4 linked regions of the Drosophila melanogaster genome follow. Changing the gene in region 4 together with the main gene of any one other region gives a genetic interaction. Each region holds a gene or a part of one and is shown on either strand. Other genes may lie near its edges. The genes, in order: egg, Sdc, Sulf1 and dally.

The links.
Region 1: of dally (region 4) and egg, a change in one rescues a mutant of the other (synthetic rescue), as found in Drosophila melanogaster (one study listed by BioGRID).
Region 2: of dally (region 4) and Sdc, changing one enhances a phenotype caused by changing the other (phenotypic enhancement), as found in Drosophila melanogaster (one study listed by BioGRID).
Region 3: of dally (region 4) and Sulf1, changing one suppresses a phenotype caused by changing the other (phenotypic suppression), as found in Drosophila melanogaster (2 studies listed by BioGRID).

What each region holds. Positions count from the first base shown.
Region 1 is NT_033778.4:24,774,776-24,781,839, forward strand, and holds egg (eggless), read right to left. Parts: upstream 5,127-7,064; 5' UTR 5,039-5,126; coding exon 4,100-5,038; intron 4,042-4,099; coding exon 3,924-4,041; intron 3,853-3,923; coding exon 3,569-3,852; intron 3,516-3,568; coding exon 3,260-3,515; intron 3,198-3,259; coding exon 2,692-3,197; intron 2,634-2,691; coding exon 1,872-2,633; intron 1,801-1,871; coding exon 1,084-1,800; intron 1,026-1,083; coding exon 819-1,025; 3' UTR 759-818; downstream 1-758. Other genes in the region: Eps-15 (epidermal growth factor receptor pathway substrate clone 15), read right to left, coding at 1-38, 133-198; Lcp9 (larval cuticle protein 9), read right to left, coding at 5,260-5,526, 5,583-5,594; CG3594 (uncharacterized protein), read left to right, coding at 6,183-6,935; TyrRS-m (Tyrosyl-tRNA synthetase, mitochondrial), read right to left, coding at 7,025-7,064. UniProt on the Drosophila melanogaster protein: Histone methyltransferase that specifically trimethylates 'Lys-10' of histone H3 (H3K9me3) in ovary. H3K9me3 represents a specific tag for epigenetic transcriptional repression by recruiting Su(var)205/HP1 to methylated histones.
Region 2 is NT_033778.4:21,477,957-21,483,168, forward strand, and holds the start of Sdc (syndecan), read right to left. Parts: upstream 3,221-5,212; 5' UTR 3,058-3,220; intron 2,423-3,057; exon of another isoform or gene 2,401-2,422; 5' UTR 2,228-2,400; coding exon 2,135-2,227; intron 1-2,134. Other genes in the region: Sara (smad anchor for receptor activation), read left to right, coding at 4,269-5,087. UniProt on the Drosophila melanogaster protein: Cell surface proteoglycan that bears heparan sulfate. Required for axonal and myotube guidance, is a necessary component of slit/robo signaling and is required in the slit target cells.
Region 3 is NT_033777.3:16,336,256-16,341,528, forward strand, and holds the start of Sulf1 (sulfated), read right to left. Parts: upstream 3,321-5,273; 5' UTR 3,056-3,320; exon of another isoform or gene 2,688-3,055; intron 2,289-2,687; exon of another isoform or gene 1,590-2,288; intron 1-1,589. Other genes in the region: SF2 (splicing factor 2), read right to left, coding at 4,399-4,507, 4,567-4,691, 4,974-5,273.
Region 4 is NT_037436.4:8,825,842-8,830,695, reverse strand, and holds the start of dally (division abnormally delayed), read right to left. Parts: upstream 3,192-4,854; 5' UTR 2,464-3,191; coding exon 2,193-2,463; intron 1-2,192. UniProt on the Drosophila melanogaster protein: Cell surface proteoglycan that bears heparan sulfate. Functions as a coreceptor for growth factors and morphogens, such as the products of dpp, to regulate signaling and distribution of these ligands.

The sequences.
Region 1 (7,064 bases), on a different chromosome or scaffold from region 4:
GTCATGGCCTCGATTGCCCCTGTGCCTTTGGGGTCAATCTGCAAAAATCGATAGAGGGTGGGTGTGGATACGGATGCTCAACATTGGCCGCCATCCTGGTAACAGTGCGGCTTGGAGGCGTGGTGCGCTTACCAGTTTGTAGTAGGCCTCGTAGACGCCTATGTGCTTCCCGCACACCCTCGCAAAGTCCACATTCATGGTGTGGAGTCTACTGGCAATTGGTTCCGACTAGCAGTGCAAAAACGCGTAAGCGTAAGCCCGTTATCACAAAATCGATTTTTTCTTCCCAAGGGGCGGATAAGCTGCTCTTAGTCAGCCGTCGGCGGAGTCCTGCTGCCTAGCACCTGTGCACCTGCGACGAGACACTTGCTGGAGCCACTTACAGGTGAGCTTGGCGCATTGCGGCCCCTAATTTAGCTACTCTCGAATTTTAAAAAGCCTAAATTTGCTTTTTTGCTCGGTGGATAGTGTGACCGTTCGGATAACGATTAAAAATACCGTACGGCTGATGATTAAGTATACCACTAGGTAAAATGCGTTAAAATACCACATAAATTAATACCGTTAAATTAACGAACATTATTATTTTTTTAAAGTATAATTTTTTAAAATTCATTTGTCTATATTTATTCCTTTAACACTAAACGTGAAGAAAATTGTGTACTTTGAAACGGACGGTGCAGAACAGCAGTAGCTTATAAAAATGCAATGTTTCCGTTACCCTAACGGAACAGATAATGTTTAAAGTTTAAATTTTTAATTCTAATTCTTCTTTAATGAGTATATTTCCTGTATGGATCTCTAACTTAAGCTAGAACTTAGAGCAGACGAAGGCGGCAATTGGGGGCCCCGCACTGGCAGTACAACACCTTGCCGGGCACCACGCCCACCTCGTAATTGTAGTTCCAAGTCAGCTCGGTGCCGGAGCGGATGTGCGCGGCCGAGAAGAAGGCAACCCAGGGGAAACGCAGGTCGTGAGTATCCACGAACACGTTCTGCACGAAGAGATTGGGGCTGCACGAGTGCTGCGGGAGAAGAAGAGAATCAGCCACACGGCAAAATAACAAAAAACTTCCAACTCACGTTGAAATAGCGTCCAAGGTTGCCCGTTGTCTTGGCGTCCATGATGTAGGGCGCCTCGTCCTTGCCGAAAAGCCTCCGCACCGAGTTCTCCCGCACCGTCTCGTCCAGATCAGCATTTGGGTTAAAGTTGATCACCGCACGCTCCTGCGAGTCCAACTCGCTGCTCTGAGTGGAGCTGTTCTGCGTGGAGCCGCTTCTGGAAGAGCGCTTGATTTTGCGCTGGTAGTGATAGTTTGGCCGGAAGTCGTCATCGTCCTCGGCATCGGGTCCCCCGTTGTCCTCCTCGGCGTCCGGGTCCGAGTGGTCCACCTCCGACTCGTATCCCTCTTTTAACTGTTCAGCGACCTCTATGTAATCTAAGTCCGCGAAATACTCGTCGCCGGCGTCCTGTCCGCCTTCGTTGGCCATCGTCTCCGTGAGCAGATGGCCGGCGTAAATACAGATGAAAGCACCCTTGGGGATGTCGTTAACGCAGCGCAAGCCCCATCCACGATTTGAGGTCTTGAACACCTGCAGTTTCATCTCTAGGGAGAACTGCACCACCCGGTTCAGGCAATTCTTCTTGCACTTGCAGCGCGAGTTGCACTCGTAGATGCCGGTGGGCACGTGCTCGTGGAGCCGCTTGTACTGGTAGCCTATCTCCTCGATGGGTTTCTTCGGGTTACAGTACCGCACGCCCGCCACCGTTAGCTGCCAACAGGCGCACTTTGACTTGTCCTGATAGGGATACACAAAATAGTGGGCGGCTGGGTATAATTTGAGGTAATCAGATCTGTAAGACGTCTTACCGAGCAGTCGTCCTCGCAGTCGCAGCACAAGAGGAACTCCTCGTCCAGATTCAGATGAACACCCTCGGTAGGGATGCGCTGCTTCGCGTAGGTGCATGGGGGCGGCAGGGTGTTGTCGTAGTAGTTTACCAGCGGAATCGCCATCTTCTCCTGCCCCTTTGAAATGTCCGTGTCCTTCACGATCGAGGGATCAATGGAGTACTCGGCCAGACACTTGAGGTCGGGCGTAAAGTCAAAATTGTCTACGTTCAACACATTTTCAGTAGCTCGAAGGTACCTGTGAACTTCGGCCAGGCTGCGCAAGCTTTTGCCACAAGGTCCCTTGTATACCACAGACTTCTTGGTCTTCTGCCGCATGACAAGACGTTCCCAGCCAGAAAGCAGAGGCTTCGCTAACGGACTGTAGCTGTCCAGACGGTGAACGATCTTAAAGAGGCAGTTCGGGCTGCACTCGTGGCACTTGTACATTTTGGGAGGCAGATTCCGCTTGGCTGTAAAGTAGACTACATGGCCCTTGGGCCTGTTCTCGTCGTCCACGTAGATTGTCGAGTTGTTTAGGTGTCGCACAGCACTTGCGCTATTACTGGTGCTGACACCTCCTGCATTGGTGCGTCCTCCGGCTGGGGTTGCTGCCGAAGATGCAGCCGCTAATGCGTTATTTTGGGCGGAGGCGCTGCTCTTGCGGGCAAAGGCACGCATCTGCTGGTTCACCTTGCTGCTGGACTCCATCTCCTTGGTGTACCGAATAAAGGGCTCCGTGCGCTGAAAAAGAAAGACATTTTGTAGTTAGGACCGCAGGATGAATCGACACGATGCTTACTCTTGGGACACGCAGCTGCTGTGCGCTTGAACTGTTCATATTGTTCTGGGTTTCCCTGAAGACAGGACCCAAGCGCAATGAACCCCTGTATATCCACTCCGTATGGTTTTTGTCGCCCTCAAACTGCATCAACACCAAGCTGCAGTCGATGTCAATGACGCGCGCGTACAGCCAGGTCCCGTTCGATTCAGTGGTCATACTTTGTCCCCGGGTGCATTGCACCATTGGACGATCCACGGAGTACTTCTCCACGTACTTCTGTATGAAATCGCGCGATGCGGCGTGTACGTCCTCCCACACTTTCTCGGAAGCCTGGCAAACTAGACGGACATCGCGGTGCGGAACGTACTGAGTGTACCCATCGTCGTAGAATATTAGGTAGCGGTAGCGATTGGCCTGCTTCAACGGCTCAGCGATGATGCCTGGATAAAAGGCGCTCTGCACCACGCCCTTATCCTTGCCCCGCGACAAAGTGGTGCCATCGAAGTACGCAATCACGCGGGTACCTAGTGCACAATGAGTGGGTTAGTTTATAGATTGATAAATAACCGGTCTATTGGGAACTAACCAATGGTCAGTCGCACTGGCGGTGGTTCGAAGTAGGCAATGTGCTTGGCCGTCACTGTCTTGATCATCTGGTACGGAGTGTTGAGGTACCTAATCTTGTAGCTCTTCATCGTGTTTCCGTTGATGGCGGTGCTCTCTGTAAACTCGATTACCTTTATGGACACCCAGCTGGCAATAGCCTTGTTCTTAACAGCGTAGTATGTCTCTCCCAACTGTATTGGAGGACGCACGATTTCGCCAGGAGGTGGAACTTCATGCTGAGTAAATGGTTGTATTAAATCAGATCCAAACGGCATCACTTCTTACTTACCACATAGTCACTGGGTTCAATGTCCAGGGTGGGCAGATGTTTGTGTGCCACCGGACACGAGTTATACAAAGCGCAGTGCATTTTGTCAGCGGTGGTCTGAACTTTTTCGAGTTCCACATCTGCCAGTGCGAATTGTCGCTCCAAGTGGTCTGCTTTCGCCTGGAGAATAGTTTTTGACCAGGACAGCTGAGCCGTAAAATCCACCTTGTTAAGTACATTTTTGATGGCATCATCGAGTTCATCTTCGATGAGCTGCAGCTTGTTTTTCGAAAAGTCCGATTTTTCTGTGCGGATAAAATATATTTAGTACGTTTTTTTTTTTGCTATTGTTTATTTATCATGATAGCAGTCTCACCTGGCTGCTTCTCCTCTTCCTCCTCATCGCTGCTGTCCAGAGCCACAAAGTCGGCGTGATCCTGATGGAAATCCTTTAGCAGCAGCGGCTGCTTGGCCATTAGTTGTCCAGCATACTCCTAAATAAAGAAATACGTTCTAAGTTTCCCTCTTAAGTTAATAAATATGCTAGTTGACCTCATACAAGTCCATTGCTGTGTCATGGCATCCCATGCAGAGGAACTGCTGCTTGGAAGACTTTCGGAGCACCTGGTAAAAGTTTAAAGTGGCCATGTTAGCCAACACGTACTGTTTATGAAGCTTTGTGCAATTGCAGTTGACACATTCCTTGTCGTAGAAGACATCTCCATCTGATAACAAAGCGTTCAGCTTCTCGTCTTCTGCAGCTTTCGGAGCAGTGCCCTTTTCAAGCTCCACCTCTAGGACATCGTCTTTTTTATCAACAATTTTGTGTTCTTCGATTTCCGTTAAGCTAATACGCTTGTGACCTTTTAATGTATTCTCAATTTTGTATTCTTCTGCTGGTCGACTTATTGACTCCTCGACGTCCTGATCTACCTCCATGCCAGGAGGTTCTTGCTCATTTTCCTTATTGGTCTTTTCATCTTTTTCAGGAAAACTTTCGGATGTGGGACTGCTGATGCTGCTATCAGTCATTTCCTCGGCCTCTTTAGCCGCAGCTTCATTGACAGCATCTGGTTTTGGCGGATCTTTCTCACTTTCGTTGGCGGAGGAGAATTTGACAGGACTCTCTATTAGCTCAACACTGCTGTCCGAATCCACAGCTACCAAAACCGGGCTGCTTGCAATGGCTTTCGTGTTCTCTCCCTTGCGGTCCTCCGATTCGTCGGCCAACTTTCCAGGTTCATCAGGGGCCTTACCTCCATATGGGCACTGCTTCCTGGTTGAACCGGTGGCGGCGATTGCTTCACTGTGTGTCAGTTCCTCAATTTCCACATCCTTTGCGGCTTGTTCTGCAGGAGACTCCAAGCTATTTTCTCCTTTGCGCACCGGCAACCCGTAACTTTTTTCCCTCGACGCCGGTGTTTCTTGGACATCCTCCACTGTGCTTCCACTGCTCTCTAAGCAGTCCACGGCTGTTGGCTGCCCAGACATAGTTTTAATGAGTTTACTTAACTTTACACATTAATGCAAATTTGCGAGACAAGCGATAACATTGTATAAAATTTCGCTCGTAATTTGCCAGCCCTAGATTTTAGTGGCAGAAAGAAGAAGAGTGTCTATTCACACAAAAGAAAAAGAACGGAAATTCAAAATGTTCGCTGCTGCAATGGATTTAATTTTTTATTTCGGTCTTCGGGAGTGGGTCCTGTTCATTAGGCCTCGACGACCTTTGGGTGGTAGCCGGTTTCATCGGCGGTGTAGACCACTTTGACGGTCTTGCCGTTGGGGGCCACGTACTCGTACTCCCCGGAAACCACCCAGTTGTCGTGCTCCTTCAAGGCTCCAGTTTGCACGGCGCGAATATGGTTGGATAGCTCATAAGCGTAGTTAAAGTCCAGCAAGTTAACCTCGGAGTCGCTCTTTACAACATCAGCCTCCTCGTTGGCGAAGACCACGGCCAAAAGGCAGGCAAGAACGATCTAAAAGACAAATCGTTGTTCAGAGGTCCCCAAAATCTAATTTCGATGCCACTTACCACAAACTTCATGGTTGGAAAGGGGATGTGTGTGCTGATAGATAGCGATAAAATTTTGACTGCTGGTTGCCGAAAATTGCGCTTTTATATGTAGCTCTCCACTGACATTTTACCGGCCGGAATCACCAACTGCATAAATTTTCTTCATAACTGGCTCCCAGCGGTCGTTTGTCTTAATTAAACAAAAGACATAGATGCAGTCATTCTGCAGGCATTAATTATCGCCCCACTCGGCATATCATATTCGGGGGGTTATCTTTGGAGATCTGTGCGGAAGATTCCCAAAACAACCACGTTCATCAATTGTCAGCACCGCACGATTAATTTTTAGCTGATAAGAGCTAACCGGTTCCTTCGATGCTAACGCCGATTAGCATTATTTTCGCATAACTCCATTAGCAGTCTGATTTTGCTCCCGCAGTTGCAACCGGTTTCTAACAAGCTGCGATTGCAATATGGCCTGGGATTTGAATTTCTTGGCGCGCAATTAGCCAGTGCTGGAAAATGTCTGGGACCGCACAGATTTGCCATTCAGAGGGAATCCCACGTGGTGGTGTCTGCGTATCGGTGTGCACTGCAATCTCCCCCAGAAATATCACGATGGCCAGTGATTCTGGCAGCGATTATGAGGTGGAGGCTTTCTTCAATCCCAAGCGAGTTCAACGCACAGTCAACGACGACAGTGCGGATCTATTGGGAAACTTCGATGACCAGAAGCGAAGGGAGATCTTCGAGGGCACGTATGTGGACAAGGAGGACGGACGGAATCCCAGTGACCCGGAGGATAGTAAGAGCGAGGATGAGGCCAAGTCCGACGACGAGGCAGCCGCTGAGGGCAGTGCTGCTTCCGGAGCCGAGGAAGAGGAATCTGCGGAAAATGGGCAGATAACCAGTGACCAGCTGAGTTCACTGCTTCGAGGAGCCTCCAAAACCAACAGACACGTCCTGTACGTGACGAACCTGAACTTCGAAACCACAAAGGACGACCTGGAGCTGCACTTCTCTGCGGCAGGCACGGTCAAGTCTATCCGCATTCCCAAGAAGCGACGAGGGGGCTTCGCCTTTGTGGAAATGGCCGACCTAAGCAGTTTCCAGAATGCCTTCCAGCTGCACAACACAGAGCTGCAGGGACGCAACATCAAGGTGCAGATCTCCGAGGCGGGCAAGAAGAAGTCGGCCAACAAGAAGAACATCATCAAACAGAAGAACCGAAAGCTGGCCGAGATGCGCAACGAGCAGAAGACCTTCACGAAGAGCGGCAAGTTTTACGACAAGGACCTGAAAAAGGAGAAGGCCAAGGAAATGCTGGCGCGAAAGCGGTGGCGCAAAAAGCCCGCCCCCAGACCCACATAAATAGCATAAGTTCTTACAATGTAAGCCATTCTATGATTATTTAACAACAATTAAAAGTTAACATTACCGGATAAGAGGTTTACTGTTAACTATTGCCAGCGCACAATATAGAAGTTGCGTTTGCCCACG
Region 2 (5,212 bases), on a different chromosome or scaffold from region 4:
GAGCCGAGGAGGGGGGCATAACCACGAATGCCAATTTTGGCAAAAACAAGTGACAAACACCAAAAACAGGACACAAGATGGAAGGAACGGCAAAAACAAGATTACAGACTGCTTTAGATGGGTGAGAGGGGCGGGCGGGCGTTTGCGAAGGGGTAAAAGGCCATCGCACTATTTATGTGCAAGTAGTGTGTGTAGAAATTTTTCGGGCCAATAAGTCACACACCAATAAAGGCAAACAAACCAACAGGCAAGCGAACAAACAAACAAACAAACAGGCAGTGAAAGAGGCAAACACAGCCATCGAAATTGGCAATAGCCGGATGCTTTTGTTGGCAACAGACGATGCCAAAGATCATCGTGACCAGTAGCAGAAGTTGTATCAAAAACTGGCCCAGAACCCAGGCCCAAATCAAGAAGTGCTTTCCAGTGATGAGCTGTGGAAAATGCAACTGTAAACTCTTTGCGGAAAATGAAGAAAACTGGCTGTTAAATTTTTACCGTATCTCAATAGAACTTCTAATTTCGGATAATTAACTAACAAGAAAGCACGGAATGTAATAAATGTGCTAAATTACATAAAATACTTGGTGAAGATAAGAAGGAGACATTAATATTGCCCTTTGGGCTTGCGGCCTGATTCATTAGCTGGTTTTATTATCAGCCAATAAATCTTAATGTGAGTAATTGCGCTAGATAACAAGAAAAGCTGATAAGTAATCCAACTCAAGTCTTCAAATTAGTTTTTAGAATTTAAGTGAAATTATGCAGTTTAAATCCAACTTTTGCCTTCACTAATACATAAATGTCAACTTGGCAATTGTTTTAAGCAATTTACACAACTTGCCCATTAATTTAACCGGTTTTGCTAAGTTAACACCCTTTAAAAGCAGAGTTTACAATCGGTAAATCTAAATTAAACTACTCAATTAATGACAAAAATACTGTGTGATGAGTGGAAAACACCAAAGAGGCCAGTTTCGAATCTGTAAACAATTTTCAAAACAGCACATTCAGACACCAAATGATCTCATTGGGCAGAGCAGGTGATTAAAGAAAGCACGAGAGACGAATAGAAAGGAATTCGTCGGAAATTGAATCATCTCTATATCTCCGAGTAGCATTCCCCATATGAACGTGGCGGCATATCTGTTTCTGTGGCGGCACTCATCTCTCATCGCTAATGGGTAACAGTCGACAACATCGATGGATGGCTGGATGCGATGCGTTGGAGTCGATGACCATTTCGGATTTGCAGCCTTATTTGACCAGCAGCCGCCTCGTCCTCTATATCGATATCTATATCTATGTATAACTATCTATATATATATATTGCACAGTGCCGATGTCTGTGCGTCTAGTTCACTGCCATATTTATGCGTTCGCAATGCAGACGTTTTTAATGTCTTTTCTACAAGAAGCCAAGGAGTGGAGCAATGGAGCCAGAAGCTTACGGCTTACATTCATCGGGACATGGAGGCCTTTCCTCTTCATTATCTGCAGCCACAAATTGCATTCAGTGCAATGCCTTGGAGATTGACCATGCCCATGCCCGTTGCCCGTCAAGCCTCTGCCACATGGTACATGGGTATATGACACATGTATCCACCTTGGGGCTGCCGAATTTTGCATGATAAGTGCAACAACAAGAACAACAAGAACAACAGAAACAGCATTGGACAACCGCAAACCGCAAAAACAACTGAAGTGAACAAGAAATCGAACCGAACTTGGAGTTCCGAACCCTCTCAAGGTGGCGAAAATTGGGAGTTCGGATTGCTGATTGAATCTGCCTCGATTTAATTGGTAAGCAGTTACAAGCAGCAATGGGCTTACGCAACTATGCTTTTGAAAGGGGCCACTTAAATGCTCCACTTTGTGCCCAAACTGGTGGGCATGTGTATGTCGTTACAAAAGGATAGCAATGTCTAATAATGACCCATTCGTAATTAATCAAGCTGTGTGACGTATTAATATGAATAAGCATTCAATGGCCATTAAAGCCACATTAATATTATCACAAAGTCGGCTAAATTTCGGTTGGCCAGGTAAACTTGAAGTTGGCCATTGATTTTGGCTTATCTCAACGTAAACTAATAACATTTGGTAGTTTCGGGTGTAATTTTTGAGATCTTACCTGATCTTGAGCGTGGGTGGCGGCTACCAGAACTCCGATGAGAATTGCGACTAGCAATAGCGGCTCTACGGAAATCTTCTGCTTTGGCTTCATTTTCCCCGTTGGTTTCTTCTGCGGTTGCTGTTGTTGTGATTTCAGCTAATGGCTTCCAGTTTTGTTTATTGATTTAAAGATTAGAACTGGCGGCGGCACACATATATAAATATATATATTGAGCTATATATATTTCTTGCAGCTTTTTAAACTGGTTTCACACTAGAAGAACGCTGTTTAAATACACACATGAAACTATGATTATTATGATTATTTATTTTCCAGACACACACTATTCCCGATGTGTTATCAATCGAATTGCAAAACAAAAGAGATAGCGTTGGTTGGAGAGACAGGGTATTAATTAAGCATTACACACTGTAAAATTAACAACAATTTATCGTATGCGCGCGCGGCTAAAATCAAAGAAAGGAAGTAGAAGAGCGGGGGTAATAAACAAAACGTTTACGCAGAGAGAAAAACACAAAAATAAAGAGGAGACAACAGCGCAACTACTGTGTGTATTGGTGTGTGTGTGGGTGTTTTAATCGAATTCGATTTTTGTAATTTATAATTTTAAAAACATAAAATTTAACAAATTTTTCGTATAATACACTGTATTTTCCTTTTGTTTTTCTGTTTTTCCCTTTGAATCCAGAGATTTTTCAACGAAAAAAAACACGACCGCCCACCACTACAACTACACCATACGCATTCGTATTCGCTCTCCGTCTCCTCTCGCGCCCTCTCTTTCCCACTAACGCCGCTATGGCGGCTTCTTTATGTGTCTCTTTTCTCCTCTGCTTCGCCTGCCTCTTCTTTTCGTATCTTTCTGCCCGTTGTTTTGCTGCGTTTATTTTCGTTGCATTTATTTTTGCTATTTTGCGCACCTTTTCCTCTCCGTATTTACAAAATTGCACTCGCGATTCTTTTCGGGGATGTACAAATTTCTTTACACTCGAGTGCCGACCAAACAACAGACACGAAATCGCGCTAAAATCCGGACGTAACCGTGCCTTCTTCGCTCCGTAAAATTTTTTCGAATGACTTGGCCAATGTTACCAGATGCAGAAACGACTCAATTATCCAAGCTGTGCATTTCCTAAAAAATACCAATTCTTATGCTTAGCTGGGTGATGACTTAAATAGACACTCCGAAACGCGTACTCATTTAAAATTTATATATTTCTGTTACAATTTCGCGATTAAAAATGTTACTTTAACATCTTGAATTTTTTTGGTTTTATTCTTATGTTACTGTTTGTTTACATGATTTGCTTAAGATATTATTATAGAATTATTAAATGTTTGATAGGCAAATAATAATTCAATCAAATATAATTAACATTTTGAATTCATTTAAATCGGCAAGATTTCATATTTAAATGCTTATAGTATTTTTCTTGAGCTAAGCTGCGGTTACACTGATTTACACTGTTTCGGTTGCTCGTACGTTCACTGTTATTCTGTGATACTGTTAGTTCAGTTGTACAACCCAACATTTTTTTAAAAACACAGACTGGCGGCTAAAATTTCCCAGACCCAATGTTAATAGATTTGTTTGAATTCATACGCATTAATATTGAACAATTGAAGCATTCATATTCGTGTAGGACCCGACAGCTTTTACCTATTATTATTTTCAAATTTGAAAAGGTGTTACGGTTTATGTTAACATTGTAACAGTAACAGATTATAGAGAAAGATAGAACGAGATAGCATCATAAAATACTAAATGAGAAAGGTGCTAATTTGACTTAATTTTTTTTGTCTTTGCAACACTGTTTCCATGGCTATTTTTAGGCAGTTTCTTACAATGTTTTTCGTCACCGAGTTTTTGTTAATAAATTAGCGAGAAGAAAACAAAGTAAATAAGGTGATTGCAGGTGCTTAATATTGCTTATTAAAGGCGAATACGTCCTTGTTTTCCTCATTGCCTTGTTATGACTATATTCGAGGTGTGAAAAAGGTATGAATCACAAGACCGTTTTTTCTCCACATCTTTTTGTGTTGTTTTTTCTCTTTTGCGTTTTTGTGAAAATGCAAGCAGATAAACCTGGTTGGTTCAATTTTATTTAAGGTTTCTGCGGATTTGGTGGCCATGGACTTGGTGGACATTGATCAGGTTTTGGACAATCTGGAACTGAGCATTGCCGCCGATGAGCAGCTGAGTAGAAATGCAGCGGCAGCAGCAGCTGCAGGTGCAAATCCTGGCCGTTTTCTGGGCGACGGAGCAAGTGCATCGATCAGTGGAGTTGGAGCTGGCGCCGGAGTATCGGGAGCTGCGGGAGTAACACCAACACCGGCGTCTGGAAAGTCCTTTGTGGGCGTCTCTCAGGTTTTCAACAGCCTGGATGACTACAGGGAAAATGTGAAGTCCTTGCAGGTGGATGCCCAATTACCCAGCTACGACTGGCAAACGGAGGCGGAACACGAAGACGACATCCACAAGTTCAGCGAACAGGCGTCCAAAAATAACGGCCAGACGATAGTATCGTCCTCCGAATCGCTGACCACCTCATCCTGTTCCACCTTCTCGTCGGGTCCGTCGCCCGTGAGCAATGGCAGTCACTCGGAGGAGCTAGCAACGCCCCCCGAAGATGAGAAAACGAGTGAAGTTCAGGTGGAGCCAAAGGAACAGGATCAACAGCCGGAACAGGTCAAGCATGAGGACCAGCACCAAGATCAGGCTGTTCCACCGCCAACGCAATCCAAACAAACTGTAGAGGAGTTAGCAGTTGGATTGTCATCCATCTCCATCACTGCGTCCGGCACAGAATCGCAATCCCTATTGCCGGAGGAGGTCACCGCATCGTCTGTTCTCGGGCAGGTCCTCGAGGAGCTCTCGGAGGAATCGTCGCCCAGTAGAGAACCCGAAACCGAAATGACCAACGGCATAGATGTCCCATTGGCCAATTTAGTAAGTACTATTACCTTACTTTGTTTGTGTAAATGACTAATAAGTGTAGCGCATTAGTTTAAAAATATTATCAGCTTCATAAATCAATTAAGGTTATAAACTATCTTGACATATAGTATAGTTTA
Region 3 (5,273 bases), on a different chromosome or scaffold from region 4:
GTCAAAACAATTAGACAGACGGGCCAGACTCGTGTCTTCAACTTGTTGCCGCGGCGGATAAAAGTTGGTGTCTTATGCTGGGAAAAGTAAAAAGTGTCTAATTAAATGCTTGTCCAGACTGGCTTTGGAAAATACAAGGTACTTCAATGCAAACAAATCTGTACGAAACTGAAATACCCTTAAGACATACTATTAAATTTAAATTTTTTAAGCTTGTAGCGCATTTTTCAAGCTTTCGAAATGAATTCCCTGAAACTATGGGACACCATTTTTTGCAGAATTGCAGAGATATTATTTCTTCTATATAAACAAAAAATTATCTTATCTGTTGATGTTGCGACTTAATCATATCATCTAGCAAACAAATCTTTTGTTTTACTTCGAATTGCCAGTTAAGGCAAAAAGTTGTCTTGCTATTGGGTATCTGGTATTATTTAAAAATTCCCACAATTAGTCAGCAATCGGTAAATTTTAAGGGTGGTTTCGTTATACGCATTAAATTAAATTTCCTCCAAGCGATTAGTGAATGGACCCGGTCCAAAAGGCAAGGCACAACAGGCAAACAACAATTAACATAAATTGCTTACGCGATGCGGCCCATTGAGTGCCGGCAACAAGGGGTTAAGGGGTCACAGTTGCCGCCCGTCAATCATTCGGTCAAACGAACAGCGGCACTTGAATGGTCGAGCGAAAAGGGTTTCCCATTTCCACGGCTGCCAGTTGCCAGTTGCCAGTTTCCAGTTGCGGTTCGCTCCAGCGGAAACTTCAGAATGCACCTGTCGCAAGGCGGCGGTAGGTGTGATAAGCATCTCATCACAACAAAAGATTAACACGCCGGGGAGGACAAAGAGCAGAGCCCGGTCATATGGGCAGGTCTCCGATTAGAGACGCACAAGGGATTCAAACGAGCTGCCTGCACACATATGCACTGCTACAAATAACTAGCAAGAAATGTATGGAACCCTAGATACAATGTATACTCATAATACAATTAAACTGGATTCTAAAAATTGCTGCTGAATATGGATGCTTATTTTACACACATAATTGTATATTGATGCTAGGTGTTCCTACAGACAGCTCAAGTTTTCTCACAGTGGTTGCTTAGATGAACAGGAAACCGACGGGGAGGAGACCTTGAAGACCCTACGCAGGTTGTATTGCAAGCAGTTAGTTAGGTAGTAGGTAGCCACAAGGCAACACCTCTGGCTTGACAGATCGAGTTACCAAAGAAGCACCCTACTCCTAAGTGGGTCACATTACCAATGTCAAACGATCGAAGCCAAGCCTTACTTTCACTCAGGAATATTGAGGAAGTGCTGTTGAACAGTCGGTAGAACAAAGACCAAACAAGTTGGGATGCCTGATGAGGACCACAAACGACTAGTATCGCATGATTTGCTTGGATCAGTCGATCTTCCCCCCGTAAAACTAATTTCAAGTTATGATCAATAAAAAAACCTTTTAAGTTTCAAGCGAGAACAATGACTCCTAGGGGGAATTCGCTGATGCTGCGCTTTCAATAGCCAACTTTAATGATCTCAGCAGTTCCGTGGGCATGCAAAACATCCATAAAATGCACTTCTTACCTCAGGCTATATCTAAATATATATATATATCTGTTTAAACTTCCAGTAGTTGTAGTTTTAACACACTATTGCGATTGTGATCATGAGCGCTGTCTACCGATTATTTGGACACTTCAGCTTCTATTTATAGTTCGCGTCGTGCCGAGCGGCTTCGAATTAGGTGATAAACCCGGTAATTGGTTGTACAATCGCGATCGATTAATAGCTTCCTCAGTCCCACTGACTATCCCCAGATGGGTAGTACCGTCCGATCCGGTAGAGTTCAATAAAACTGGAGCCGAACAAGGCGGAGATAAGCTGGATACACCGCCACAAAACACAATTCATAAACGAAGGGCCGGCTATCTGGGCCGATATCTTCTCCTTCAGCTGTCGAAAGACTGCCCACGAAATTGCACTTTCCGAATTATTTGTTATTCATTATTACGTGGGTTAGCAATTTTGACATGCAATTCGTACTTTCAACAGGGTTTCTACGGGTTTTCCGAACTTTTGGCGCACTTTTCTCGTGTCAGATGGTTGGTTTAGAAATTCTACGCTACTTTTATTTTACAGCGCGCGTTAGCTTAGTACGTAAATATAAATTAAAATCCGTATGCGACCAGTTCGTTCCGTTCGAAATTATAAAAAACAACAAACACAGAGCAGTTCCCACGCGCGTCCGAACAGCTGGTGAATATTTTTTGAAAAACCCAACAACAAAATGCGCGTGTTGCTTATATAGTTTGTTTGCCAGTGTGGCCGTGCTGCAAAGTGACCAAAAATCGTTTTTCGCACAGAGAAATCTGGTATTTTGCGTTAAAACAATACGGTCATCATTGCCCTAATAACAGTCCTCTGTAAAAATCCATAAGCGGGAAGTTTAAAATTGATTCGGAATGCAAAGGTTGTGAAATCCAGAACAGAAGTCTTTCCTGCAGATAATACAAGCAAACTTAATTTGTAATCTTCATAAGTACAGGAACATCCCATAAACACAAATACCTGCTACACGAGTCTAGCAGTCTAATTTTAAGCTCATAATCTCAGCAAGATAAATTGCTAAAAGTATTTGATTGCACCCATCTTATAATGTTGTATTAAAAGCATGACATTTTTCTTAATTTTTATGAATATTTATTGTAAATGTGTATTTCATTTCAAAAATATGTTAGAACTATGGCTTATATGTTGATCGATAAGCAAGGAGAACGAGAGAACTGTTCTGTTCCAAAATTGCTGTGGTATTACTTTTTATTAGGTTAACGAAAGTTCATGCAAATGATGCGGGTGTGGGCTATAGTCGGGGCCTATGAATTTTCGCCCTTCTATTCAAAAAAAATGAAAAACAAAACGCACACGCGACAATCGCCACATTTCAGAGGCAACAATATCAATGGAGACGAAAGATTTGGGTAAAGAGTATATAAATTATAAACTAAATAACGCAAATTAAAAGTTAAATTTGATGTGGCAATCTAACATACCACAGAGAGGCGAGACAGAGGGAGACCGGAACGCATCGGATCGGACCAGACCAAGAACCACTATCCACTATCCAGCGTTGGGCGCAAGTCAACGTTGGATGATGCACAGCAAATCCGTGAAATGACAACGACAGGGGCGCGAAGGCCACGAAATACGCGGTTCCCTGGGTGAGCTAGTTTCTGAAGTGCGATCCAAAGAAGGCGACAACAAAGCGTGTGAGCCTGTCCAAGCGAATCCTAATCCCGACCGTTAGGCAGATGCCGAAGAAGGGGCGAGGCTCGAAGAGATGCGGCCGAGTCCGAAACTGTATGATTTAGTCCTGTCCAAGGGCAACGCAAGTGTTCCTCACCGTCAACGATGCCATCGACATTCTCCTCCTCCAAACATCCGTTAACCTGAACACGACCAAAGTTCACACATAAAATCCTTCAACAATGCGAAATTCCTGTCTCCTCCTCCTCCGAGGTGCGAGTTAGCCATGGGACACTGCATCCCACGTTGTCCTAGCGAAGGGCTCAGAACAATCCTAAATCCAAATCCAATCCTGATTACAATCAAATAAATATTTTCATATTTATAAGATCTATAGACAGGTCCTGCCTCCACTAAATTCAATCCAAATTTATCCAATCCACGCCAAAATCAACATCAAAATATCCTCCTCCACATCCATTAATCCTCATCCTCCACATCCTCATCACTCTCCAAACATAAACGCGCAAAATGGGGAAGAGAAGAAAATAAAAATTAAAGTATTAATAGTTTGCTTATCAATGTGGTTGACATTGCGTTGTGTTCGGATTTCTGTTTCTTTTCTTTATCTCATTACAAACATATTTATTCTGTATCGATGTTTCTTGTTTTCGTTAAGGTAGATTCTAATAAATTAGCTTGGAAAACGTGCAGCCAAAATAAGAGTTATAATATAATATGTAGGAAGCAGACTGAGCAAAGGCTCAAAAGATAATCAAAAGCAAATCAAGGAATGCCGAGTGCTTTTGGCCAAAGAGAATTCCTTGGTTTACAGTTGTCATTTTAGAACTGTTTTTGTCAAATTTTGCCCGGTGGATTATAACTTAAGAGAACATTTCTGCTTCTTAGAACGTGTGATAAGTTGGAAAAGCAAGTGTTTTTCTTTTTTAAGTATGTTGGCTTCGGTGAGAGTTCGGAACTTGACTGAACAAACTTGATTGGTCGTTGATTTCATTTTACAAATCAATTTACAATTGGGGTATTTGAGGGGTCTTGAACAAATATTGATTGGTATTTCCTAATATAGCTTGCTTTTCCTGTTTCCTGCTCATTAAAATATTATAGATTAATGGATAATGCTTGGTTGTGTTTAATAGTTAGAACGTGAGCGAGACCTGGAATAAGATTGACGTCGCACTGGGGAGTATGTGGGAGTGCCACGACGGCGCGGCCTCGACGAGAATGAGCGCGAACGGGATCTGTGGAGGGATTCATAGAATAAATATTGAAAAATGAACTGTGGTAATATTTGGTTTACCTGTCGCGGTAGTCACGGCTTCCACCTCCGCCGCTGCCGCCACCACCTCCACCGCTGCCGCCACCACCACCGCCTCTGTCGTTATCACCGCTATCCTCGCGTACGCGAATGTAGGCAACCTCGCCCTAAAGACAATAAAAATATTAATATCATTTGAATAATGTCGCCAAACTATTTTTCAAAATGTAAACAGGAATGTGAACTAGATGTTTATCAAATTGACACATTTAAGGGCGTAAGTGTAAGCATCTACACCAATATAACTTAATGTTATTCCTGAAATCATATTTAATTATTCCAGCCTGTGAATAATGTATGCTGACAAAATAAATGCAAAAGTAAATTCTCTACCTTGAAACCCGAATACATTTGAATTTTACAAAGTTGGAACTGGACAATTTACATACCTCATGCGATCGGAAGCGAGAGTCGTCCAATTTTTTGATTGCGTACTTCATGTCCTCGTGGCGCAGGAACTCAACGACGCCGGAACCATCCTTGTAAGTGTCCGCGAAGCAGACGTCGCCGGCCTCGCGCATGTGATCCTTGAGATCTTGCCACGATCCGGAGGCGGGCAGTCCAGTAACCATGACGCGGTACTGCGAGCGCTTGGCTGGCGGTCCGCGTCCGCCCATCCGTCCCCCACCGTCGCGGCTTCGGTCATTGCGGTTGCCGCCGCGGTAGCTTCCAGGACCACCGCCCCGCGG
Region 4 (4,854 bases):
GTTTGCCTTTGCCTTCTCTATTTGCACTTTTCACTTATCTAGCCAGGCGGCACACAAACACTTGCCGGCGGAGGAGATACGCGGATACATGGGCTCATATCTCATGGCTTGCTCTAATTTCTGTTGCGAGTTGCTTAAATATTTAGTAACACGGTCGGGGGCATTGGAACTGCTATGCCTTAAGCATAGATACAGATACTACAGATACTTGCAGGTAAACAGATACAGATACTGTGCGATACGATTAGATACTGCAGCTACGACTTCCTGTGCGTCTTTGTAACGCGCCAATGTTAATGTTCATTTTAATAGGCACGGAGTAATACTGTTTTTTTTTTTTGGCCCAAAAGCAAAGCCAACTCAATTAGCAGTCGAGTGGTGTGCGCAATTAAATTAAAATTTAGTTTTATGCCGAGCGCCTCTACCGGGAACTGCACGGCAAAAGCAAATCGGGAGAAACATATCGTATGCATGGCACCGACGAGAGATTAGCATCACAAACAGCACATAAACGTAAAAGTAACACACTCCAGAGCAAACAGAAAGAGATATAGATGGAGATACGGATACGTACTGTACGGATACAGATACATTAACAGATATACATAGATACATTGGCGGGGCATAAATTCTACGGAGGCGGAGGCAGGCGCAAGTGGAACTATGTAAACAGTAAATAAATGTCGAAAACAAGGTTCGGCATACTTAAGCAGGAGCAACGACCAGAGATACAGAGATACATACATAGGTGCTGATCGGAGATACGCCGCCTGGCATTAGCCAAATTGAAATTCCTCAAAGCCAGCGCTAATAACTTCCAGCTACCAGTTCAATTGGGCATTCTGGCATTCAGGTGGATAAGTCTCTGGGACACACAAACATGCACTTGTAACGCCAACTCTCGGTTGGCTATTCGGTTCTTCACACTTTGATGCCATGGCAATGCGGTCTGCTCAGCAATGTATCTCATAGATAGTTCTTCTTGGCGTTAACTACCTGCGTGTGGGAACGACTGAACAGAATGAGCAAAGAGAACCGAGAACCTCTGCAGACAGGTAAGCATTGGAGGGAAAAGTTGCAACATCATCGCCAGATACATTTGTATTCCAGTCGAGTTTGCGGCTGTGTATCATGTAATTGTGCGTAAACGCGTAAATACCAAGTCAAGGTCGGCTAATCAATAATAATTATTTTTCACTCAATTACACGAAACAGATATATATTGGGTACATTCGCTCGTTTTCGACTGATATTATCGGATTGTATTGCATTATTTGGTTATTCGGTCTTATTTTTGACTTCGGGTATGAAATATGCATAAACAAAAATATGTCGAGTATCTTGTGGATATCGGCTGTGGTAAATATAAATATACCTTCCATAGCCTTCACACAGTTTGGCCTCAGATGCGTGCCACTTGATATGGCAGTGTCGAGAAATCAGAATAACAAATGATGCCGCCGCCTGTGTATCTATGTATCTCTGCATCTGCGAGGTGCCAGATCCGATATGTAATGAACCTGGCGCGGCCAAAAACTTTATCCACGGCACGTCGAAAACTTTTCCGAGGCGTTGCTCAATGCGCAATCTTCTAATTGCAAACGGCGCCCGGCTGTTCGAGTGGTCATAGTTCGCCTCGAGTGGCTGCCCGCTCGAGGGTTTCACTCAGTTCAATGAATTTGCATATGCTTCTAGTTTCTGGCGGGGATTGAGAAGCGGATGGGGTCTAGAACGGACTAGAAATAAGAGAAACTGCAGCTGCGGGATGGCAAAAACTTTGGCTGACGCGCGATTTACTTGGTTGAAGTATGGAAGACTGATGGCGAGGCGAGGGTTAAGACAAACTCTGAAATCAAGGCAATGAATTTCCCGCAAAAGAAATGTTTTTAAACGGAGAGGATGCAAAAGTAATTAAATTGAAAAACCATTATCAATAATCCCAATTTATGTACCTCTTTCTTATTTAATGGAGTAGATAACTTAGACTTTAAGTATTCGAACCACTCTAGTGACCTGGGGAAATAACATACGTTTTCCTCTGCATAGTTTAAAGTTAGTACGTTTGCTCCTAAGGGGCCTTAACCATATTGGTAGCTTTAACTTCCTCCATCGTTCCCCGCTTCTTCCCCAGCCCGCATGTCCAAGTGCATACTCGATATTATAACTCTACGGATGGATGGCGTGAACTTTACCTTTTTCGCTGTAAGTCCCACTCGACTTGATGTCGATCGATTCGAAGTAGCTCTTGACGGCATCACACTGGTGGGTCGATCCCCCAACGGCGTCCTTCGCCCGCGAGTCCCGCTGTAGGCGACGTCTGTGGTGCGTGGTGGCGCTGTGCAGGTGGTGCTGGTGGTGGTGGATACCATCCAGGTCCAGGTGCTTGGCGGCTGACAGGCCGACGAAGCCGCAGAGCAGGGTAAATAGCAAAAGCTGCGCTAGCCGCACGCTCCTGGCCGCCATTTTTGATGGGTGATTTCTGTGTGCAGACACAGTGGATGATGGGGCTAAATTTGATTTGCCTTTGAATGCTTCTCTTATTTTTATTTTAGCCGGTTATTTTATTTACTCTATTTTGCAGCACTTCTTCGTATTTACTTCTGCATGCTGTCTGGGTGAACAGCTGTTCGCGGCAACAAACACACACACTCACACAAATGCACTTGCCGGCTAACACGCACACACACACACTGGCACACACGGCCACAAACACGAGCGCACAAAACAAAAGGCCCCAAAAACACGCGTGAGCAATAAACGTGGTAGTAAACGTGGGATGGCGATAGTGGGTGGTGGTGGGTGGTGGTCGAAGAGAGAGCGCGTGTCTAGCACTTTTTGCTTTTCTACTTTCTAGTTTTGAAAGGTCGCTAAATTTCTCACAAGTATTTTCTTAACTTATTCAGAGACTTTCCATGACATAACAACGAATAGTACTCAATTCCTTAGCAATTGATTTGCCAGCGATTAGATTTGTTTTTTTTTTCTTCTTTTTAATTTTCTCCTACGTTTTGTGTACTTAGGTCGGCGAAAATAGATTTAATTGCAAAGCTCCTTGGCCACCGGCGTTCTCAGGTCGAGGAAATGCACTCGCCTTCTTTTCTAGCGTTTTTCCGCTCGAATTTCGCACCGATATTTTCAGTTTTTCCGCGCGCGCAACGAACCTTCCACGACGAGAAACCCGAACAGATTGACTTTGCCATCGAAATCAAACATCCGCCCTGAGTGCTACAACTTTAACGATGCGAACACGAACCACACTCGGCACTCGACAATCGGCGCTAAGAGAACCATCCGAACGCTCTCTTTCGAACAAAAGAGAACGGCGAGCACAGATGTTGGCACAGTGGTGCAATGAATAGAGGTGTTTATGCGAACTCAATTTAATTCACAGGTTAACGCCGAGAATACATGAGTAATACAAGGGCGCAATCTGAAATGAATTAATTAATTTGAGTCTTTAGAGTTTTGGAAAACGAGCTTCGAACTAAACCACAAACTTTGTAATGCTTATTAGATATTATAAAGTATTTTAATTAAGGAATGCCCAACCACAATTTATAAGATGTTGTATTTATTAACAGCATGTAGTATGAGTAAAAGGGGAAATTAAAGTTAGTAACGCAAGCTTAGCTTTCGTAAGATATCTATTCTCTTCGATGATTGCCAAACGATTTCGACAGCCAATGAATCTACGTAGTTCCATAAAATTTGATATGACACATATCCTGTTTTCGTTTTATATATTTCAATAGTGATTCGCATTTATTTATGGGTTCCGGCATTCTTCAGGACCAACTTCGAGTTTTCCCTGGCCGTGTCATCTGCCACAGGAGCTGGCTTGATTCTGATTATTTTTCTCTGTGTCCGATGGGCCTAAATATTTATTCAAATTCTCGAAATGCTCTTCTAAAAGCTTTCAACGTTGGCTCGCTGCAATTTGCATATTCAACGTAAATCAATCCATCTCACAGTGGTCTTCTCGGGTGCTCCGGTGGCTTTTAATCCGGGCTTTTATCGATGCCGCTGGTTGAAATTTGCATGCTCGGTTCTAATTGATGTCTGAATGAGTTCTAATTTTATTTCATAGGCTATGTTTTACGATCGGCTTGATGAACCCGTGGAGCAGGCTCAGATTTCACGCCTTTGAAGAGTCTCAGATGCTTGGCAGCTATTTCCCTAGGGCTAAATGTTTCTGTTCAAATTGATAGCCGTGTCATGACCTCGCACAGCACGTGTGGTGGTATCGTTTGTTTTTTTTTCTTCATTTCTTTTCTTTTGTTAATTTTTTCCCTTTGCAATTTGCGAAAACGAAGCGATTGTCTTGAGGCTGCAGCGGTGTGGCAGACAATGCACGACCCGAACACACCAGCCTCTTCTCCCCGGACTTTCACTCGTCACCCCGCGGGCACCGACCTCGATCTTAAATACCTAGGCGTCTCGGGGCGTCTGTGTATCTATTTCTTCATTAACAAGATACTATATAGCCAGGGCAGCGGGAACTTCATGGTGGTCAGTTGCGGGCGTCCAGCTGGGCGCAAACGCCCTCCCACCCCCCATGGATGTTTTCCGTTCCCGGTGATATGTTCATCACGAAATGGAATCCTATTCAAATTAGTGTGCGATAAAGAAAGACCTCCCAAAAAATAAGAAAAAAAAAAGGAGAAGACTCAAGACCCCGGGGCAAACAGCGAAAAGTGAGTCATGCGAAGCGGAAACAGTTCTCCAATGAAACGAATCCACATCAGAAACAACCGTGATGATGATGATGATGATGATGGTGATGGGATGGCGAAACGGCAACAAAAAACAAAAACGAGCTGGAAAAGGTGAGGTCGAAAATTAAACACCACCACA